2 linked regions of the Ovis aries genome follow. The protein of the gene in region 1 purifies or fractionates together with the protein of each later gene. This does not show direct contact. Links are inferred from orthologs where the notes say so. Each region holds a gene or a part of one and is shown in the gene's direction. Other genes may lie near its edges.

What was found.
Region 2: the proteins of KCNQ1 (region 1) and NEDD4L purify together in Homo sapiens (affinity purification with western blotting, with the first as the bait; 3 studies listed by BioGRID). This does not show direct contact. The link is inferred for Ovis aries from reciprocal best matches to the Homo sapiens genes KCNQ1 and NEDD4L.

What each region holds. Positions count from the first base shown.
Region 1 is NC_056074.1:45,517,426-45,521,166, reverse strand, and holds the start of KCNQ1 (potassium voltage-gated channel subfamily KQT member 1), read left to right. Parts: upstream 1-1,184; 5' UTR 1,185-1,286; coding exon 1,287-1,648; intron 1,649-3,741. UniProt on the Homo sapiens protein: Pore-forming subunit of the voltage-gated potassium (Kv) channel involved in the regulation of cardiomyocyte excitability and important in normal development and functions of myocardium, inner ear, stomach and colon.
Region 2 is NC_056076.1:57,724,752-57,728,492, forward strand, and holds the start of NEDD4L (E3 ubiquitin-protein ligase NEDD4-like), read left to right. Parts: upstream 1-888; 5' UTR 889-1,013; coding exon 1,014-2,093; intron 2,094-3,741. UniProt on the Homo sapiens protein: E3 ubiquitin-protein ligase that mediates the polyubiquitination of lysine and cysteine residues on target proteins and is thereby implicated in the regulation of various signaling pathways including autophagy, innate immunity or DNA repair.

The sequences.
Region 1 (3,741 bases):
GGATCAAACTACATCTCCCGTGTCTCCTGCGTTGCAGGCGGATTCTTTACCACTGAGCCAGCTGGGAAGTTCATCAAATATTCTCACCTGGAAACTCGCATTACTCTGCCTCACCTACCGCTTCCTCGTTTTTCCCTCAAATCTTCACAGTAGTAACAATCCTCCATAGAACTGCCTTTCTGATGGGAGAGTCCATGAAATAAAGCAGCCCAGGGTGCTCAGTCAAGACCTGGGAAGTGTCTCCCAGGTTGCGGGTCCCTGATGTGGTGGGCAGTTATTCCTCTGCCCGGGGCAACGTCCTAACAGAGGCCAGTTTTTTTCTGCTTGACACCCTTTCTCCCTGATGCCAGTCAACGTGCAGGGACTGAAATACCAGTGCTGGGTAGGGGACTCGAGTCCTTCTGATCCACCTGGACACCTTCGCCATTCAGGGGAGACAGGGCACCACAGCAGCCGTGTCCAGAGGGCGAGGAGGACGAGAAAGCGGTTCTCCAAGGCCTCTCCCCTGACCTGCCCAAGCAGCCCTGGGCAGCGGCGCCTGCAGGAACTCCCACGTCCTCCGGAGCACACGGCGCCCCAGCGGGCCAGATGCTGACCCACGAGGGCCCGAACGCTCCCGTTTGGCCTGCAGAGTTCACTGGCCCTGTGGGCACCGACCCGACCGCGTTCTCTCCCTGCAGCGTGCGCTGGGGCGCCCAGGGGGGCCCAGATAGTTCACGGGGCCTCGCCGCCATCCTCCCGGTGAGCCCTTCCTCCCCGTTACCCTCTGTGGAGGGACTCAGAGCCAGTGAAGAGGGTGTCCACGCCCCACTCCGTCCTCCTGCCCAAGCAGTTCGCGGTGCCGGCACCCTGCGGACCTCGCGCCGCCCCTGCTGGCTTATGTAGGAGCTTCGCGCAGGCCGCGCAGGTGGGCTTGGCGTTTGCGAGCACGTGGGCGCAGGCGGGCGGAGAAGCGAGGAGCGCGGGATGGAGCGGGCCGAGCAGGTGGGGAGGGCGGGCCGAGCAGGTGAACGCTGCAGGGGCGGGCCGAGCAGGTGGGCGCAGACGGGGCGGGGCCGGCCGGGCGCGCCGGGGCGCCGGGCGCGCACAGGTTGGTGCGGGGCGGGGCGTCCGGCCTGGGGCGGGGCTCGCCCACCCCCGGCCCGGCCCCCGGCGCCGGCCCCGCCCCCCACGCCCGGCCCGGCGGACAGCGGCCCCGGCGGGGCTGGCGGCAGCGGTCTCCCGCACGCGCCCGGGCGCCCGCCGCTGCCGCAGCTCCTGCCGCCCACCGCGGGCCCTGCCTGGCCATGGCCGCGGCCACCTCCCCTCCCAGGGCGGAGAGGAAGCGCTGGGGCGGCGGCCGCTTGCCGGGAGCCCGGCGGGGCAGCGCGGGCCTGGCCAAGAAGTGCCCCTTCTCGCTGGAGCTGGCCGAGGGCAGCCCCGCAGGCAGCGCGCTCTACGCGCCCATCGCCCCGCCTGGCGCCCCGGGCCCCGCGCCCCCCGCCGCCGCCGCCGACCTCGGCCCGCGGCCGCCCGTGAGCCTGGACCCGCGCGTCTCCATCTACAGCGCGCGCCGCCCGCTGCTCGCCCGCACTCACGTCCAGGGCCGCGTGTACAACTTCCTCGAGCGCCCCACCGGCTGGAAGTGCTTCGTCTACCACTTCGCAGTGTGAGTGTCGCCGGCGGCCGGCGCGGGGAAGGGCTTTCCGCGGGGCTGGGGAGGGCGCGCGGGCAGCGAAGTCCCCGTGCCACCTGCTGCCGGAGGGACCTTGCCGGAGCGGCGGGTCTAAGCCGGGAGGGAAGGGCAGGGTTAACGGGAAAGATCGCGGCAGCGGGGAGCCTGTCAGGTGAAGCTCAGGGCCCTGTGGGTCTGTCCCTGCGCCGGTGCGGAGCTCCCCGCTGGTGCTGCCCGGGCATGTGTGTGGGTGGCAGAGCCAGCTGGGAGCAATGCCCGTGCTCGGGGCTGGTCTGCTGGGCCCCGCAGGGCTGGCCCAGGTGTTAATCCTTGCGAGAGAGCACGTTTGCAGGGGAGAGAACTCTGGGGGGCTGAGAAACAAGAGAAGACAGGGTCCCGGTGCCCCCCAACAGGGGTGGTCTCCCCGGTCAGCAGAGCAGGGCTTTGGCAGACGGTGGCCGGCCTTGTGCTTTGGCTGAGGCGTCAGCATGGCTGAGGGGGGTGCCCATGGCCCCACGTGACCCTGACCCGGCTCCTAGAAATCTGGGTTGAGGCAGAGGGGCCTGGAGGGGTCAGGGCTGGGGCGAGAGGAGAGAGAGGGGCCCTGACTCTGCTGGTTGGTGGTGGATCAGAGGAAGCCGTGCGCCAGGCCAGAGCCGGGTCCTATTGGCGGCACCTGGCCCTACTCCTGCCTGGCCCAGCCTGGTTGGTGGCCTCTCCGTGTGGTGCCGGCCTCAGAGCCTGGGCTTGGCATCTCTGGGCTGCTCTGGGGGCTGCCCAGAGGGACCTCCCCTGATCTCCCATCGGTCGAGGCGGGTGCTTGGCCCTCCCACCTTGGCTGGCCTGGGGCTGGGAGACCCCTGGCTGCAGGGTGCCCATGGCTGTCCCTGGAACCCCAGGGAGCAGAGGGGCGGCTGTGAAGCAGGGTCTCGGTGGGCGCGGCGAGGTGGGGGGCACAGCCTGCATCCCTCACCTTCTCCCCTCCGAGCTCAGGGGGTACTAGGGGTGCGGGCAGGGTGGCCCTTCTGGAGCAGCAGGGCCAAGCCTGGAGACAGTGTCCTCAGAGGCACAGAGGGGCCACGGTCCTCCAGCCTTTGCCCCAGCCCCCTTTCCCGCCTCCCACGGGGGCAGAGGGGGCCTAGCCATGGCCATGGCCATCTGCGGAGAGGGTGGCCTTGCCCTTGGCTGCAGCGGCAGAGGCTTGCCTTGGGGTTTGGGGGTGTGTGTGTGCACCGGCACTGGGGGCCCGCGCCCCGCCTGATGCTGGCTATGTGAGCACCCGCCAACAGCAGGCTCATGGGAGCTGCCGTGCACTGCCGTCAGCTGCTGGGCCCCAAGATCCCGAGGTGCCCACCGTGTGGGAGCCCACAGCCGGTCCCGAAGCAGACCCTGCCCAGCCGCCTCTCTGGCCGGGACCCTGCGTGCCAGCTCCGGGCACAGATGGGAGGACCAGGCAGAGCACTGCTTAGGGGTCAGCAGTGCCCCCACATCCCCCGAGGGCTGCTGAGTGAGGGGCCTGCAGACACGCCACTGGTTCACATCCCGGGGTCACAGGCCCGGGGGCGCTCGCCTCGCCCCAGCTCCCTGGCGGCCGCGGTGCCTTGTGGAGGAAGAGGGCCCGCCGCACCCCAGAGGAAGTCGCTGCTTGCACTTGTGTTTTCTTCCTGATTCCGATTGTTTAGCTCTCGGAAGTTTGCTCAGCTCGGTCTGCCTTGCCCAGCCTCCCCAGGAGCTGTAGGGCCGGGGTGGCTTCTGCGGACCGTGGTGGCCTCTGGAGACAGTGGCCCAGCGGCTTCCCTGTGTGGGGAAGAGGAGCTGGGGAGGCGAGGCCCTGTGGGTGGGCTGGTGACCTTGGGCCAGTCTTCCCGCTCGCGTCCCTGTCCATAAGAGGCGGGTGCAGCCCCCCACTCAGGGTGTACAGCCCCCCACGCAGGATGTGCAGCCCCACGCAGGGTGTGCAGCCCCCCACGCAGGGTGTGCAGCCCCCCATGCAGGGTGGGGCTGCAGGTGGACTCTGGCTGGGCAGGGGATGTGGCTTCCCTGGGGCCTGGGAAGGTGTCCTCTCGTCTCTAGGAGATAGGCAAAAG
Region 2 (3,741 bases), on another chromosome or scaffold:
TTTTTGAGTGGGGGGATGTTGGTTTTTCTCCTATCTGGCATACAGGGGGGAATGTTTTCTCCAGCTGGGTTTCTTTCCTCTGGCACTGCCGTATCTGAGAATCATATTATGTGTGAGATTGCGTCCCCCGCCCTCCCCATCTTTCAAATAAAACACATGTCGTGGTAGCCAGAGGCAGACCCCAACTGGCAGTAAGTTGTTCGCCCCCCTCCCTCCACTCAGCTATTTTGTTACTTGTAGATCATGGTCTAATTATTTAGCGTTAAAGGGACACGCATTCTGTGGGGTGTGTAATCGTATTTATAGTACGTTTTATTAGTTTGCATTCCATCGTGGTAGTGTGGTGATATCATATGTAAGCGGGGCGCGTAACATCCGATTGCTCCTGAGAGGCTTTTCCTGCAGCCCCTGCAGTGTCACTTGTCACTGTCGGGTTCGATGGGAAGGGGGGCTCCTCTGTGTGCTTCTGCCGTGGGTGCCAGTTGCTCCGCATCGGTGAGACAGCGCCCGGGTGCCCAGCTCGGTTTGGAAAGAACTGTCCGGTGAGCGCGCTGCGCTGAGATTTATAGCCGCACAGCTCGGACTGTGTTTGCTGCCTTAGTCAGCTGTGAGAGCTCCCCGCTGGGGCCACTCCTGTCTGATGGAAAAGCAGCAGCTGGGAAGGTGCTGTTTCAGGCTCTTGCTGTTTAAAAAAAAATGAGAGCGAGAAGGGGAAGAAAACTCCACTAAGTCCAGAAGCTGGCATTGGAGAGGGAGACCGCGGTCATGTGGTTCCGGCCACCCTACCCTCTGTCACAGTGCGGATGAGAGCTTTCTGCTCTTATCCAATCATGCCTGGAATGCCGCTTGCCACTTGGGTTATTTCTGCTATCTGCCGCCCTTGGTGCCGCAGTGCTCACGCTTTGGCAGATGGAACGCTTTTCCTTGGAGTTCGTGTCTTTGGGGTTTGACTGCTGGCAGCGCCGGGCCTGTTGTTGCTGCTCGCCCTGTCCCTCCCTGGCCCTCTGGGCACCATGGCCCATCGGCTTCGGTTTCATTTTGGCTCCTGCCGCAGCAACACAGCCCCCGAGTCGGAGATCCTAGACCAGGAGGGAGAAGACGACTTTTTCATGGCATTCCACACGCTCCCGCGGCGGGGCGGCGCGGTTGCGCTGGCCCCGAGCGGAGCGCAGGACGCGGGCCTGCGGGGAGGCGTGGGCGCGCTCAAGCGCAGCACGTCCATGTTCATTCCGCAGCTGCTGGGCCCCGTGGACGCGCGGCCCACGCGGAGCTCGTCCGTGCAGATCTCGCTGCAGCGCAAGGCGGCTGACGGCGCCCCCGACGACGGCGACGCGGGCACGGAGCCGCTGGGGGAGCCCCCCGAGGCCAAGAGCCTCGACGACGGCAGCGGCGATGGCTCCCCTCCCGCGGGGCCCGGAGCTCCGGGCCCGCAGCTCAATGGCACGTGCGGCCGCCGCCGAGCGCCGGGCCCTGACGGCCGCGAGGAGGCCGAGCCGCCAGCCGTGCGCATCCAACACCGCGCGTCCAGCGCCGATGTGCGCCCGGTGAAGCTGACGCCCTCGGGGGCTGAGGGCCAGGCTGGCCCCGCGGCGGCAGCACCCGAGCCCAGGCGCTGGTCCCTGCAGCACGTTCCAGACGCTTCTGGAAGCTCCGGGAAGCGCTGTTTTGTCTTCCAGCTGCAGCAGCCGCCAGCCGGTGGCTGCGGGCCCGCACCGGGCGGCGACTTCAACTTTGGCTTCACCGGCACCAAGGGGGACAGGTTGGTGAGGTATCCCCGAATCCGGCTGGAGAGGAGCAGCTCGTACCCCACGCAGCCCCGGGCCGAGCGCGGGAGTCCTCCGGAGGAGCACGGCCACCCAGACCCGGAGGCGCCGCCGCGGGGCCGCAGGGTGGCTCCCGATGCCCACAGGACCGATGCGGCGGCCGAGAGGTCGCCACAAGGCCAGGGCTGCACGTTTAAGATCAGGCAGGATCAAAACGCGGGGCAGCAGCACTTCAGAATCCTCGTGACTCGGGGGCCCGAGGAAGCCCCCCAGAGTCCCGAGGAGGACGCCGCCGCGGCCGGCCCGGCTTCCACGGGAGCTGGCGCCCCGGTAAGTGAGCCTGTGATGCCGTGTGTCCGCAGGAGGAAGGGGCCGATTCTAGCCCAGCAGGCGTATTCTGCAGCAGAATTAAAATAAACAACATCCTCCTCCCTTCTGGGACTTTCCCTGCTTCGGGCCAGAGTAACTGAGTGTGTTTGGCCGGTTCTGGGTCCACGATTTGTGGTCCCGCCTTTGGTAGAAGTCCATGAAACTAGTTAGCCGATTTTAGAAAATATCGTAGCCTTAGGTCTTCAAAGTCACATAACTCTGTTTTGAAAAATCTGGACAACCCTTTCCCCCTCGTTTCCCTCCCTTCTCAAAAAAAGAATTTTTAAGATGTCGTTACTTTTTGAGTTAATGTGCCGTGCCCCAGCATGTTGACATTGGAAATGTGTTAAAAAACTGCTTGCAGATACAGGCTGTGACAACGCTGGCATTTAAAAAATAATCCGTTCTAATCCAGGTGAGAGAATCGCAGGTTAAACGTGTCTGGTTTCTTCATAATTAAGCATATGTCAGGTTGGACACATTCTTCCTAATGACCTTTTAGCTGTACAGGGCTGGCCCTGGTTGTATAATGTATTGTCTTTGTGGGTTGGTTGTTTTTTTTTTTTTTTCTTTTGGTCCCACTAAGTAAGAGTGAACAGAGGTAACCACAGTTGTGGGCTGGGAGGAAATGTGTTTTGAAGCAGATTGGCCTGTAGGGCCAAGGCCAGGGGAAACTGATGGGGGACTTGTTAATGGTCAGGTTGCACACCCCTGCAATTTAACACTGCCCACTTGAGTGTCTAAGCTGTGCTGCTGTATATAGAATAGTTAAGTGCCCAGCCTCCAGCTGTGGAAACAGAAGCCCAGCAACAGATTTTGGCCTTCATTGCTCCTGTGTTCTTGCTCTCTCCCTTTCAGTGAAATGGAGTACAGACAGACAGCTGCTAACTCCACCAGGCAAATGATGACTGCAGCTTTCACAGTTTGTCATGGGATGCGAAGTTTCATCAGTTAGCTTTCTTTCACTACTAATCACTAGCCACGTGCTTCATTTTTTTTTCAGAGGACAGGCTCCTTGTATTCTGAATTGGGGTTGTTTTCCTTGAATTTCCTCTGATGGCTGGATTTCAGGATACGGCAGTGAAATGTCTAGGAGACTCTGTGTTTGGTTTCAGTTGTGAATTGCGACTTTTCAAAGTGGATGACTGAGTTTGGCTGTGGAACCGTATCATCTTTTATTATTTTGTGTCGAGAAATACTTTTTGCCATATGAGTAAGTTTTATCACTGATCCATCGTTGTCTTTCACCATTTTGAAGGCATATAATCAGGTGCTAAATGTCAGTATATTTTTCTTGTTAATATAACTTTATAACTGTTAATGTAACTGTTTCTTCTTCTTTTCCCTTTTATACACCCTTTTCTTTTATTATCTCTAGTCTTTTCATTAGGAAATGCTATATTTTTGGTCTGAACCAATACCGTTTTTATACAGTGGTACAGATTTCAACAAAATTCTGATAATAGCCTCTAACCTTCAGCCCAAGAAAGTACCATCACAACAGGTATAGACTTCTTTGGGCAGCATATTTTTGTGCTGAATTTGGACCACCTACCACATGAATATTGACAACATGCGTATCCTAAGTTTTGACAACTTATCAGACTTT